2 linked regions of the Mus musculus genome follow. The protein of the gene in region 1 purifies or fractionates together with the protein of each later gene. This does not show direct contact. Links are inferred from orthologs where the notes say so. Each region holds a gene or a part of one and is shown in the gene's direction. Other genes may lie near its edges.

The links.
Region 2: the proteins of Prkacb (region 1) and Cdk5rap2 purify together in Homo sapiens (affinity purification with mass spectrometry; 4 studies listed by BioGRID and IntAct, counting the BioPlex papers as one, with this or other methods). This does not show direct contact. The link is inferred for Mus musculus from reciprocal best matches to the Homo sapiens genes PRKACB and CDK5RAP2.

What each region holds. Positions count from the first base shown.
Region 1 is NC_000069.6:146,807,370-146,818,742, reverse strand, and holds the start of Prkacb (cAMP-dependent protein kinase catalytic subunit beta), read left to right. Parts: upstream 1-5,796; 5' UTR 5,797-6,059; coding exon 6,060-6,105; intron 6,106-6,112; exon of another isoform or gene 6,113-6,542; intron 6,543-11,373. UniProt on the Homo sapiens protein: Mediates cAMP-dependent signaling triggered by receptor binding to GPCRs.
Region 2 is NC_000070.6:70,407,636-70,411,584, reverse strand, and holds the start of Cdk5rap2 (CDK5 regulatory subunit-associated protein 2), read left to right. Parts: upstream 1-1,149; 5' UTR 1,150-1,317; coding exon 1,318-1,373; intron 1,374-3,949. UniProt on the Homo sapiens protein: Potential regulator of CDK5 activity via its interaction with CDK5R1. Negative regulator of centriole disengagement (licensing) which maintains centriole engagement and cohesion. Involved in regulation of mitotic spindle orientation.

The sequences.
Region 1 (11,373 bases):
ACAGAGAGTAGTAGAATAATATCTTATACCCAGATTTTTCTAATGCCAAAGCTTCAATTCTTCCTACCTTACTATACCAAACTCCATGGATTGAAACTTAATAATATGAATACAATTCTAAGTTCATAAAGCAGGCCAGTTTTCCCCTTTTGCTTTGGTAAAAGGTTCCAAATAGAAAAACTGACAAACCATGAAAGGTCTTCCTTGTGTTAAATCTGGTGATTTCACAGAGCAGCAAAGGGCTTGCAGATTTAGGTGTTATGTTTGTTCTATCCATGAGTCAAAATCTACACAACCCAACACGCACACACCCAAGGCTTATGTGTACTTTTTGTAAATACACTCGTAAAATCGGAACATCTGGATCACACATAAATCTTCTCTATCTTACATATAGGAAGTGGCAAATATATTGTTGCATCTCCCTCTGTCTCTTTTGTTTGCTTTTGTTTTTGTTTGTATTTTTTTTTTTACCAACATTCTGAGTTTGTGTTCCAATCCCTCTGCAAAAAGGAGAGGCCATAATTCCATTTAGACTCTAACCGTTGCTTCCTTTTTTCTCTGAGCAAGTTACTTAATCGCAGTCAGATATGCTAACTTCCTTTCTTGTAAAAGATGAATAATAAACCTTGGATAACAAGTTAATCTTGAACAATGGTAGTCTAAGTCTGCCTGACAAAAAAACTTTATAATGTTCTAGAATTATTTGAGCAATTTTTATGTTTCTAATAATGACATCTTCATTTGGGAAACATTATTATGCCTTTTACCTGATATTAAATTTGGTTCATGACCTAACTACACCACAATGAAAGATTATGTGAACTAAGTATTCATGCTAACTATAATCCTATGATGGCAAAATAAGTCTCTGTTTATATTTATGTGATATGATATAAAATCAAAATAGCTTGGACATAAGCAGAACAATCAATTTCTTTATTTGGCCTGGTAAAAGAAAAAAATAAAACAAAACCAAAAAACCTAAGTGCTTTCACTCCTGTGCATGATGATGTTCGATTTACTTCAGAAATTCTTAGCAATCAAGTAAATAATATAAAAGTTGGAATTTACAAGAAAAAACTAGAATATGAATGTGTATTTACTATTTAAATTTTTTTTCTCACTCCTGAGTTGATGGGAACTGGGGACAGAGACAGCAGAGCCTCACTGATTCAGGTTCTTAGTTGCGTCCTATAACAATGAAGTATAAGCTACTGTCATGGCACTTACCACTTGAAAAACTCTGGCCAAGTTACTTACTCCTTTTTGACATCTACTTATTTGGAAAAATGCAAGTAATATATACTGCATTATATATGCATTCTATATGTCATCTCTCTTCTTCGTTAGGTATTGTTGTGATGATCAGATAAGAATGACAAGAATGAGCCAGGCATGGTGGCGCACACCTTTAACTCGGGAGGCAGAGGCAGGCAGATTTCTGAGTTCGAGGTCAGCCTGGTCTACAAAGTGAGTTCCAGGATAGCCAGGGCTACACAGAGAAACCCTGCCTTGAAAAAAACCAAAAGAAAAAAAAAAGACAAGAATGTTTTTACAACAACGACAATAACAAAACCAATTTTTAAAGCAGTTCACGCTGGTTTTCCTGTCTACACAGCACTGCATGCTCATAGGTTAGTGAAAATATGCTATGGAAGGACTATCTTTCTCTGTACGCCCTGCGTCCTGCTGTGACAGTCTGTAGAAAGACGAAATACAGGCTTACCTCATGCTTGCTTATGGTGTAGCAAAGTGATTGGTGGCCAAAAGCAGCCAGTGCTCCATTCGACCATTCCAGGACAGCTGGACAGCTAAAGATTTTTGCCATTTGTACAATTCAGAAAAACCTGATTCTGAGATCGTCTTTTAGATTGTACGTGCATGCTGATTTCCTATTGAGAATGCTTTTCTAATCATCAAAAGTTTCATGTGTACAATTATAAGTGATCATTAGCATTAACTAATCAATAACCATACTTGTAAAGCATAATTACCTAGAAACCCCCACCGCCGTATCAATCCTGCATATGTGTCTAGTGACCAGCATGAATGACAAAAGTAACTAGGCATAATTTGGTGCTGTCTTTGAACATTATTTTCAATCACGGGTCTCTAATAATAGGGCAGACAAATAATAATTGCTAAGTGAGCAGTATAAACAAACCATAATGATAGCATGGAAAGGATAAGAAATTCAAAATTGCTGATCATGGTTTCTATAAACAACTGATTTACTTTCCTCTTAAAATGGACAGAGAAAAAAAGAGATGACTTTTTTTAAAAAAAATTTACTTATCGTCAGGATGTTGTGAGGGTATACATAACTTCCTTTTATGTATGCGTGTATGCATGTTCACATAACGTGGACACACCTGTGTGTGGAGGCACACATGTGTTAGCATGTGCAGGCTCCACACTGATGTTAGGAGTCTCCCTCCATCATTTCCAACCTTCTATGAGGCAGCGTGACTTGATGAACCTCGAGTTCTTAGTTTCTACCCTCTGGCTCACCTCTCCTGGCTAGTGAGCTTGCTCTCAGGATTCCACCTCTTCCTCCTTCCCTGGTAGCCAGCATCCCCAGTCTTGTGAGCAGGCTGTAGAAACACTAACCTGGTCCCCAAGTTTGCCAAGTAAGAACTTTACCTGATGAGCCATCTCTTAAGATCCCACGTTTCTAAGAGGTGCCAACGGCCTCTTTTCCAAATGAGTGATAAATGAAAGATTCTCTCTTACTAGAGACTCCTGATTGAAAATAATGTTAAGGGAAGAGAAAAATCATACACACTTTTATCATTTAAGCTAGTCTTCAGGCCTGTATACATAGTAAAAGTCACTGTTAGGGAGGCAACAGGAGTATTCTAAGGGGTCTAGGAAGGTCCTTCCCAGACAAAGTCGATAACATTTGGAGTGTATGTGATTTTTAGTAGACTTTTAACGTATACAAAACTCACATTCACAAAGCTAAAACTGGAAAAGGGTGTGATATCACTGGGTGCTGACAAAACCTCATATTCTGTGGTCTACTTGTTTTCTTTTCTCCACCACTCACGCCCCCGTCTCTCTTTGAGACAGAGTCTGTGTAACCCTGGCTACCCTGGAGCTCACTATGTGGACAAGGCTGACCTTGAACTCAGAGATCCACCTGTCTCTGCTTCCTCACTCTGGGATTATCGGTATGGGCCCAGTGTTCCCTTAGTATTGGTATTCTGTTTGTATTTAGTGGAAACTTAGGAAACAATATACCCAACATTCTCACGGACTAAACTAATTGTCTATCTTTCCAATTCAGTGACATTTCATATGGAGGGGATGCAATTCACCACAACACAGATGTCTGTCTGACTTACAGTAGAAACAAAAGCCACACCTTTTCCCATTAATTTATTCATTTTACATCCTGATTGCTCCCCCATCCCAGTCTCCTCTCACACAGTCCCTCTGCCCATCCCCTCCCCTTCACATCTCAGAGGGTGAGCCCCCCCCAGTATCCTCCCCACTCCCCTCCCCCGACCCTGGCACATCAAGTCTCTGTAGGGTCAGGTGTATCCTCTCCCACTGAGGTCAGACAAGGCATCCTAGTTAGGGAAACAGGATCCACAAACAGGCAATAGATTTAGGGACAGCCCCCTTTCCAGTTGTTGGGGGACCCACATGAAGATTGAGCCCATACTTGGAGCCCAGCTGCTTATCAGAGAGACAGAACACTTCTATCTGTCTTAATTAGGGTTTTATTACTGTGAAGAGACACTATGACCAAGGCAACTTTTATAAAGGACACTTAATTAGGGCTGGCTTACAATCTTAGAGGTTTAGTCCAATATCATCATAGTGGGAAGCATGGTAGCACGCAGGCAGAAAAGGTGACGGAGCTGAGAGCTCTACATCTTGATTCAGAGGCAGCAAGGAGGGACTGTGTCACTGACCTTAGCTTGAGCATAGGAAACCTCAAAGCCCACCCCCACAAGGCCACACTTCCTCCAAGGCTCCACTTCCTAATAGAGCCACTCCCTATGGCCAAGCATTCAAACACACGAGTCTATGGATGTGATGCCTATTCAAACCACCACACTATCCCACTTCAGTTTTTGTGGGGGGTTCTTTGGTTGTATCTAGGAATCCAAAACGCCAGAGCTGATTAGCCAGAGAAACAGGTAAATTATCAATTTTACAAGTACTTGAAGATCTTCACAAATAGTAAAGTCTGAAGAAGTGACTGATACAGTATATATATATCGATGATAGTGCACTAAGTTCCTGGCATAGTCTGAAGAGATATATATGTAGGGGTATGTTTGAGAGTTATGTCACAGTTTATTCCAGTTCGTGGTATCCCCCAATTAATAGTATCTGGTGACTAAGGTTATTTTCTTATCTTGGTATGTAAAGGACATTTTCCCCACACAATATGGCTTGTTGAAATGAAAGAGCACCAATGGTCTATTCTGAAGTTATAACCTTTCAATTGATTTTAAATAGAAATAATAAATATACCATTCTGGCGCTTTTTGAGATGGTATGGCTTTACCTTCTTCATTTCAAGGTCTTCTAATTAGCTTTGGATAAGTCCTTTAATGTCTCTGTGCCTCTGTGGATCTTAAGTAAAACAATGATAGTCTTGCCACATTTGCATAGGGACTTTATGAGGAAACTAATTACTATTTGTACAACACTTAGAACGCAGTATACTTGGTGTACATGCTTGGTAATTTAACATAATTGCCAATAATAGAAGTATGAATCTGTTTAGAATCTTCCACTCACCGCTACTTTTTTTCCCCAATAACAAAACTTTTAAAATGTTCTGGGAAATCTCCTTAGCAGCCAACAACCATCCGTTCATTACGCGCCAACTGTGGTTTGTGCTGCAGACACAAAATAAACTTACATGGTCTCTGCCCTTCCAGAAGTTAATCTTTCTGTTCTAAATTTGGAATGCTTTTTTTTTAGATAGCAAAAGCTCAAAAAAAAAAAAAAAAAAAAAAAAACCAGAACAAAAACTACCAGAGGGCTAGGTGATTAATTTCTAATAACCTCACGGAAAAGCTCAAGTACTCTCAGATGCATGGAAGCGCAACAATCAATTGGGAATGCGTTTATTTTGAAATTTGTGACTGTGTTGATGCACATAACGTACTTGTGTAAAACAGGCAACACATTCCCATATCTCTCCTTAGAAAGCCTGACAGAATTTGTGAGGGCAATCAGGTGAGACCATGAAGAAGGAACTCGGGAAGGGATAAGCTGTCAAGAATGTTGGTGATTGACCTGGTGTGTTGGGAGAATACCTAGAAGAGCGAAGGGAAGAAGTTCCAATGACAGCTGGGAGCTGAGAAAAGACATTCCTGGCCAACGCTGACCTCAGGGTCAGCAGGGTCGGCAGGACGCGGAGGGGCGCACGCACGTCCCTGCAGCCACGCAGGAAGATCAAGCGAGAGCAACCACGGCGTGCGGAACGCGGGCCACACGGATGCGGGAGCAGGCCGAGCCCTGGCACTGTGCCCCCCGCCCGGCTCTGGGGCACCGGATGCCAGGCCGAGGAAGGATCTGGGGTGCTTCCAAACTAACGGTCCCCACGTCCCTCGCTACTTCGAGCTTAGCCTCCGCGGCCAAGCCCAGCATCCACGCAACAAGCAATAAGTTACCGCTACAACCCTGCACAGAGGGGCTCCCGCCCGCCGGGGGGCTTGACCGCGTCACTTCCGGCGCGCCCGCCCGGAAAGAGGCGGAGGTCGCAGTCCGGGTGTGCGGCTCCTGGGGACGCGCCGTGTCGGGGACGCGCGTGGAGGGCGGGCTCGGGAAGGGGGAGTGTCCGCGCGCCGCCGCTGCCGCCGCCGCCACCGCCGCCACCGCCGCCACCGCCACGGTCCCGGTCTCTGCCGGAGAGCTCTCAGCATCTCTCCCGGACACCCAGCCCCTCCGTGCAGCCGGACGCCGCGCTCTAGGGTCTGCGGGAGCCTAGCCAAAGCCTAGCCAAAGTTGCTGCCGACTGCGGGGCGGGCGGCGGGACGGCCCCGGTCCCCTCCCCTCCGTCATCCCTGCTTGCGGACTCCCGGGTCATGGGGAACACTGCGATCGCCAAGAAAGGCAGCGAAGTGGAGAGCGGTGAGTCGAGTCGAAGGCCCTGGCTGGGTTCCCGCCGGATGGGCCGCCGCGCGGTGCAGCGCCCTGGGCCGGTGTCCCCCCCAAGGCCGCGCGCGAGCCACGGGCCGGGCCTTGCAGTGGCCGCGGGGGCCGGCCGCCTCCTCCTCTGTCCCCTCCCCCACGAAGGCTCGGGGGTGAGGGCCAAGCCCCGGGGCTCACTGGAGAGAGGGAAGGCGGGCAGCGAGGTCCCTGTGATCCCCTTTCTTACTAGAGCGAGGAGGGCTGCCACGGTCTGGAACGCGTCCCCAAATATGGTCCTTTTGTGATCGCACCCTTAGCTCTTCTTTCTCCCAGAGCCCCCAACACCCAGACCCTCCTTTAAGGGAGCCACAGGTAGTACGTTTGGGTTGACTTGGCTTTTTCTCCTTCTCCTGGATGTATATCAGTTTTCTCACAAGGTGAGTGTCCGTGAGGGTCTCCAAAGGTGACGTTAACCCTTAGTGTCTAAGGCTCTTTCTTTCACCCAAGAGATTAGAGATGGCAGACATAAATACAAGCAGCAACTTTATCCATTCGAGGAAAAATAAGTGAGACAGCGTTGCGTTTACTCTAGACATCCAGGAATGTTCCAGGATGCCTGTAAAACTTAGAGGCATTTCAGAGTTGAAGTGCTTTCTTCCGAGAGCTGAAAGTTCAGACGTTCAGTACTGTGTACAAAATTTCAAGACAAAAGGGTCGTGGGAATTGAGTTTCTGTGTAGCAACTTGGTTTTATATGTAAGCATACACATATATGCGTGTTGTGTAACAGGCTGTGAGAAAATTGTGTGCCATTATTCGGCTCATATTATAATTTATAATTCACAATAATTAGAGAACGGTCCCTGACTTTTGTTACATTGCCATAGGTTAATGACATCTCAGTCCTTGAAGTAAGTCTGACAATTTGTTCGTGTTACTGTAAGTAACGTCTTCCATTGTGTCTGTGTTTATAACAGAAGAATGAAGCCAATCTTGTAATTAGCTTGAAGCAAACAGCTTTTGATTCTCATGAACAAAGCAGAGTTGAGTTGACAGAAGAGAGTCTAGCTATTGCTTTTGTGGAATGTAAACAACAGTCAGATTTAACGGGTTATGTTTCATCAATAAGGTTCGTTCCAGGGCATGGAACAGCAGGGCAAACTGTTGGTGAGCATGTGACAACTTGAAAAGCCGATGTAGAATTAGGACTTCCTTGTTATCTTAGTAATTGTGCAAATGTAGTAACTAATTGTACAGACTCACAAAAAATGAAGTATGACAAAATACTATATCCATGTAACATTGCTTTTCCCCTATTTCTCTTGTACAATGTATGCTAATTGTGTTATGAAAATATGCTTGATAGTTGGATCAGCCCAGTAATTTTCTTAGCAAGTGCTATCTTGCACAGTTCTTATATTTTTAATGATAGTCCACTCTCCAGCAGTCTATACACTTCCCCTAGACGATATGCATTTAAACTAGCAGCTATGACAAAGTCTTGTGTGAACTTATTTATAGAAACTGAAGAACATTAGAATCATTTGAAAAATATTGTGAAGTGTCGAAAGAAGACAGCAGATGTCCCATGGGATATAGGAGACGGTCATGGCTCAGCTCTCAGGGCTCACAGGGGGAAGTGTCAGCCAGGTGTGCTGGTGCTCTTCTGTAGCAAAGAAGTGGTACAATGTCATAAAACGTAATGACAGAACATGGCTTACCACTCTGTCCCCAACTCTTCTGTGTACTTTTCAGATGAATTATTCCTGAAAATTTGTGGCTCATATTTTAAATGTAATCATTTAAATTTCTCTTGATACACAGAATACACTTTAAGAGATACACTTAAGAGTTTAGTCTACGAAATCATCCTAACTCAAGACCCAACCAAGTGCCAGACCTGAAGAAACAAGAATTGAGATCATGTTATCAACGAGAGAGTAAAGAACAGCTCTGAGGCTCTGACTACCTCTGCATCACTAATTAATCTGTCCTCTCTCAGAGTAGCTACCACCTGCTTGGGTTTCCTCGTAGACCTGTGGACAAGATCCTAAAGTGTCACTTACTGTGTAGCATCAGGTGAAAGGCAGAGTGTCAGTGCTGGAGCTGAGAGTAAATTAGACCACAAGACGTTACCAGCAGCACAGTGTTTGGTTTGAAGAGCTAATTAAAGATAGGAAGGTAAGATTTGCAGTTTGATGAGGAAGTGCCTCCCACAGACAGGGAATTCTAGAGCTTAATTCTAAAAATACTCCCAAGGAATGAAGTTGGGTATAAAGGTAAATGAACAGGCTTTGGGGGGTTGTTTTTGTTTTGTTTGGGGGAGGTTGTTTTGTTTGGGTGTTTTTTTTTTTTTGTTTTGTTGTGTTTTTGTCAGTGTTGTTTTAGTTTGCTTTGGTTTGCTTTGGTTTTGTTTCTTGTTAGCTTTGAGCACCCAGGGCCTTGCTCCTACACCCACAAAATTAAAGGATTCCATTCTGATCATCACAGTTTCTAGACATAAATTACTTTGAATTCCTCAGAGAACTGGGTGTTTCAAAGAACAACTTTCGCCATTATATAAGTCTCCCATGTGTTTTTAAAATTACTCTTGAAATAAATGTCTTCCAAAATTTGAGTATACTTATTTTTCATCATTTAATACACAGAACCTTAAACTTTTAGAAACAGGAGGCTACAAGTCTCAGAGATGTGTTCAATCCTTGTAAGTCAAGAATGTTTTATTTTTGAGTTAAGTATGTTATTCACATAGCCTTATTAATACAAAAAGAAAAACAAGCAAACAAAAAAACTCCATGCTTTTTGTTCTTTTAAAAAATATATTACATCTCCAAGCTGTCTGTGGAGCTATGTATTACAGATGTAACTATGTCCAGGTCAATGGGTGAAAACTGCTGGGCGTTAATTCTCCCATGAGTAGAGTAGGAAAGCCACCCTCTACCCCAGTGGTTATATAATGGTTTTTGGAAATGACCTTGAAGCTTAGACTGGGTGAGGTGGCACACACCTTAAATCCCAACACTGGAGAGGCAGAAGGCTGATCTCTTTGAGTTCAAGGCTAGCCTGCTCTATACAAAGTTGAGGCCAGCAATAGTGGCATTGTGAGATATTGCCTCAAAAGAAAGAGAAAAGGAAAAAGAGACCTTGAGAGTAGGAAGAAACTGATCAAAGAAAGTCATTAGTAGATCAAGTTCAGCAAATGCAAACTTCTTAACGTTTTGGAGAACTAATCTGGCACTTGGCACACATTGCCATACATACATTTCAAACCCTGTGGAATGGCTCTGATGTTACCCCATTTTCAAACTGGATAAAGAAGTGCTGTGTAACTTGTTAAAGGTTGCATAGTAGTTAATCAGGGAGTGACATTTGAACTTGGGCAGGCTAGTCTCAGAGCCTCTGACCGAAGGGTCCTGCTGAGCAGTCTTTTTTGAGTACCCAGCTGAAAGTCAGGTTCAGGACACACAGAATAGCCAATTCATCGTTTAAGTTTATCAGTGATAACACACTGTGTTGCTTCCAATGATGACTCTATTTGGATAGGCTAACTATCTTAAATACGAAAGATTATCATTCCTGTACCATTTTCTGGATTCATATCATCATCTAAAACTGGGAGGAAGGGCTAAATTACTTTCTTTAATTATTTCATTTTCAATTTGGTAAAATGACAAATTAACCATATATAATTAACTTTCTGCTCTTAAAACCTTCATTGCTATATAGTTTATTCCTCATTTCTAACGTGTACCTTCCTGTTAGGTAGCAAGTCAAGAGGCCACTTGAGCTTACATTGCTATTATTAATGAATTTGGAATTTTGCATCGTACCATGATTTTTCAATCGACGATAGATATGGTCTCCACTTCGCTGCTCCGTGAAATGGTTTCTAACTAGATAGAGCTGTTGGGAATTTGGAATACAGCTGCACCACTGAAGAAATGATATTTTACCTTGCATTTGTCTAGATGGTGTTTGGTAGATTGACAGCCTGTTTTTGACAAGAGCTGTCTTTACATATAATAAAAACGCCAACCAACCCTTATTCTATAATTTTGGTAATTTGGTAATAATCATGAGTGTATTTAGATGAACAAAATTCTAGATATATGTTTTCTCAAAATCATCAGCATTTCTTATAAATAACAATTTATAAACATAGTGAACAAATTAAGATGTAGTAATTTGATATACTCACAAAGTTCCCTTTGGTGGAACTTAGTTATGAATATAAGTATATATATTTGATTGAAAATTTTTTAGGATCATTTGTTGACAAATGAATTTAGTTTTCTCTTGCTTCTTATGTCTTTGAACTTTTTATTTATCAGATTGACAAGTTTCTTAAAGGGTAATTAGAAGTAGAGAGTTGTCAGTTAACTGGCAGAGGTACTTGAAAATAGTCTTCTTTGGGTTAAAAGAGAAAAATCAGAATTATGAACTCGGCTTTGACTGATAAGCACATATGATCTCATTATTTCTGATTTTTATTTTTGTGTGGATTACTGTTTAGAATCATCTCCCATTTGGGAGTCATTTGTCCTGTTCCACTCAGGCTCCTCCGCAGGACACAGGCAGATTGCTGCTTCTCACTGCTGGCATCAAGAAAGCGGCTTGGGTAGATCAGTCATGGCTAAGAGGTAGAAACAGCCGGGAACGAGAGGCTGGGTAAGCCAGAATAGCTCAAGATTCTCATGGACAGTTAGAAGTTAACCACAACCAATTGTGATAGACCATCGAATTAACGAAGTAAAGCAATCATTATCATTTCTAAGTTTAAGACTACAGAGTCAGTTCAGTGAATAAACTGCAGACAGCAGGACCTGAGTTCACATCAGAACTCATGGAAAGCCAGACACAGTAGTGCACAGTTGTAATTTCTGTGCCTTTATGGTGAGAGGGAGGCCAGGCTAGGAGGATCCCTGGAAGTTAGCTTGTGTGTACTCTGCCCAAACAACAGAGGCCCTGTGTCAGACAAAGTGGAAGTTGCGGGCTGAGATTTTTCTTTGATCTCTGTTACACTCACATGCATATCGTGCACACTCACTCACTCACTCACTCACTCACTCATGCTCTTCCAAGACTATCTTGTAGTGGTGGCACACACCTGTAATACCAGGAATAGATGGGCTGAAGCAGGAGGATCATGAGTTATCAGCTCCCTCAGTCATATCACAGGAAACCTGGGCGCAGACATAAAATACTTTATAAAGCTTTTTTTCCTTGTTCTTCCATCCATTTACTCATTCATTTATTCAGTACACAGAAG
Region 2 (3,949 bases), on another chromosome or scaffold:
TATAGATCGCATGTCTGAACTTTAAGTTCTAAGTTGGAAAAAGAACAGAATACTTGTGGAATATAGCCTGTGTGCACCATTTAGGGCGTTGGGGTTTAGAAGGACCTGGGCTCAAATCATATCTCTGTTTATTGCCAGTTTGCAAAGAAAGAGTGTTTAGGGTTGTAGGGACATGAGAATTATTATTGAAAGAATTCCTAAAGTTATCTCAGGTTATTCTTACAAAAAATAACTTGCAGATTGTCCAGTCAAAGGGATGTGACAGAACAGGTTTACTGCCAGGGACCACTGTTCCACATCCAAGCCTTCTCCTCTCCAGTCTTCCCCAACCCTCCCCTCCCCTTCCTTATTCCTGGGTAGATTTATTAAAGAAAAGTGACAAAAACTCCTGAGAGTGGGAGGAGTTTCAAGGCAGGAAAAGCTGAAATTCCAATTTAATCTGGACCTTTGTTTGGGAGGGGAGAAATGTCTCTTCTTAGAATACATTCACTGGCCAAGAAGGTTAAAACATGGTTCCAGAGTGCTGAGATGTTGATACGAGGAGCTAAGGATCTGGTTTTAGTGGATAGTAAACTTGTTTATTACTTTGGGCAAGTAATTTCTTCTCTCTGAGTCTCTGTTTACTGATTGCTGGTGCATGAGTCCTAATAGTAACAAAATGCACATGAAGTATGGGTGACCCCTTTATAGGCATGCCGCTTGAAACTAACCCTGTAAACTACCGTTTGTAATAGCGCTCCACAGGTGGTATTTTTCTAAATCGAAGCAGAACTCAATTATCTGAGTCTCAACTTAAGGCAGAGCCTTTTGGGTAGAAAGAGCCTAAGGAGCGATTTTGGAGTCATGAGTCTGGAACACCAAACAGATTGATACTCTGAGCTGTTCCACCTCCCGCTTAAATTAACTGATCCCGGCGGACTTTTACCCTCAACAAATATGGCGCTCGCCTTGGCTTCGGCCCGAATGCCCTCACCCACGAAACATGGCTACCGCTTCTTTTCTCCTAGTGTTGCACGCTGGAGTGCGCAGGTTCTGCCCTGAGTTAAGATGGCGTCCAGGCAAAGCTCTTCTTGCCCGGTTTCGGGTCGTTGCAGGGCGGCTTCACCGCGCGTGCCTGGGTGACCCCGCCTTGTTTCCGTAGGAAGAAGCGCCGGGAAAGATGGCGGCGGCTGCGGTTTGAATTCCAGCGGCGCCGCTTGACTGAGAACAAGAGCTGGGTTGGAGGGGGCGGGACCTGGGGAACCGAGCGCGCCGCGACTGCCGGGGAACCAGTGGCGCTGCCGCCGCCGACACCGGCGCCACCACTCTGCGTTCACGATGGACTCGGGGATGGAAGAGGAAGGCGCCCTGCCTGGGACCCTCAGCGGTTGCAGGTGTGGCCCTGGCTTTGGGATTCGTGGTACCTGGGTTGGGGTTCCCGTTGATGGCGACTCACTCCCTGGAGGCCTTCGGTTTGCTTGGGGATGGTCTCGGCTGCGCCCCGAGTGTGGTGGGACCTGGGTGTCCAGCCAGCACTACATTGGACTGTGTGTTGTGTGTTCTGGAGTACTTTGAGGACGATGTGTAGGCTAGGCAGGGGGGCTTTTTGAAAGAGTGTGAGGAGATGGGTCTAATTAGTAGGGGGTGGCTGGAACTGGACATCAGAGCACTTAGGTGGTTGATTCTTGTTTGGGGCTTTGCATTCATTATGGGGAGTGTAGTTGTTATTTTAGACTTTGTTTATGGGGTCACGGGACAAAGTTCTGTGGAGCCTTGGCTAGAGATGGACAAAATTTAATTAAAAAAACGGCCTATACCCTGACCACGTAGGTGACCTTGGTAAGTTGACTTCCCCACTGAAAAGTGTACTAACGCCGATGTGCACTCACCAAAAACGGGATGAGAATGAAAAGAAGCAATGGCTACCCAGCAGTTGTATTGGCTGACATTCAACCGTGGTGAAAAGGATGATGACTACCACTATTACAAGTTGTGGCTTCTCTTCAGATCCCCTGGGACCAGAAATTGGATTATTTGGGGCATTTAGAGCGGGCGGATGGCATGAGAACTAAACTAGGAGATCTGCTAATGCTCTCCTCCTTTCTCTCTCAGCCTTGACTGGACAGATGCTGCATTCATACCTGCTCATTCATCTCTTAATCTGCCCTAGGCCCTCCAGGTGCCTTGTCATCTTCAGGATGAAGTTCTCTACTGTGGCTTCCAAGTTTCTCTATAATTGGCTGCATCTGCCTCTCTAGCCTCCCCACCCCCCACCCCACCCCTTCCCAACCCTGTCTCTTCTCCAAGCCCTCTACCCTGTGCCTGACTGCCAAGCTCGGTCAGGAACGATCTTACTGAGTTGTTCCTTGTTCTCAGGCTTGGGTACCTGCTGTTTCTGCTGTGTCCCTTATTTACATCCAGGTTCCACTGCTAGGAGATCCACACTGACGGTCCCACCCTTGTCTGGGCTCTCTGTACTGGGCTCTCTAGCTCCCCTGACCTGTCTCTGTCCTAACGTGGTTGACAGTGACCAGCATAGAAATACAACCTAGGATGTATATTTAATTAAAAACTTAGTCGTGAACTGGGCATGGTAGCATATGCCTTTAATCCCAGCATTCAGGTGGATCCGAGACTTTAAGGCCAGCCTAATCTACAGAGAGTTCCTGGATAGGTAAGGCTATACAGAGAAACCCTGTCTGGAAAAACCAAACCAACAGTAACTTTCAAATAACATCATCATCAAAAGCTTTCTGGTAGTCACAATTTAAAAAAGAAAAGAAAAAGAAACAAGTGAAATTCCTTTCTTTGTGGTTGGTGCTGGAGGTTGATCCCAGGGCCTCTCACGCCTGTTCAGCTGGTGCCTTACCTGGACATAGCACCTTTGGAAGCAGGTGAATTAATCACATAGATTATTTAGTTTAATATTTCCATATGTGATTCTAGCAAACTCTATAGGAAAACTTGTTGATAAGGTATTTTTATCTTTTAACCTTTCATCTTTGGCATCTGGTATGAATTTTTACACCCAGATTGCTTCTCACTTTGGGCAAACTGCATTTCGACATATAGTTAGAGCAGAGTGGCATTTGTCAAAGCACTGAGTGAAAGGTGGTTCTATGAGGGGCTGCTTCTCTCCCACGGTTACACGTGGGACCCTGAAGCTCAGCCGAAACGAATGGTCTGGGGTCGATGATAAATCAGTACTTAAGTCCAAGCTTCCCGATTCCAAAGTCTGTTCTGCATTCTGACTAGTATGAACTAATGAAACGGAGTGTTCAAGGGGCTCGTGCAGAGCTTCTGGCATTGAACTGTCCCTTCAAGAGTGGCAGGACTATTCTGGGCCCAATGAGTCCTCATTAGGTGACCACAATAGGAGAGGATAGTTCCGATGATGAAAGCATCCCTTTTCGTTTTAATATACTGCTTTCTGAGCATCCTTCTCAGGGTAATTTGCAAGCCCCATGTGTATAGCCTAAACTGAGCCCAGTTTGTTCTTGAATTTTTGTTGCATTAGGTCAGAGTATACCTGACCCAAGTTTATCGAATATCAGGTTGCTCTAGCACATGGCCACTAAGTGCTTGCTGCTGTGTTAGCAGCAGACTGCAAGTACATGTTTAGCCTTTAGTGTAGTTTGATTTTTTTTACCATCATGGATGCCTGGAGAAACAGTCTGAAGAGAAGATGGGAGGGTGGAGTCAGATGAGGGTTTGATGGTTACTGAGAGAGAGAGCTTGGATCCAAGGGATTCTTGGGCTGTGAGAGTTCAGGAGAACCGTGATTCCTTAGTTAGCAAAGTACTTGCCTATTAAATGATGTGAGTTTGATCCTCAGATCCCACATAGAAACTGTTGGACATGGTGGTGCATGCTAGAGATGTTGAGATCGAGGAGAGCTGGGTCTGGCTAGTGAGCCAGCCCAGCCAAATCTGAGAAACCGAGGGCCCCGAAACAAGACAGAACAAAACAG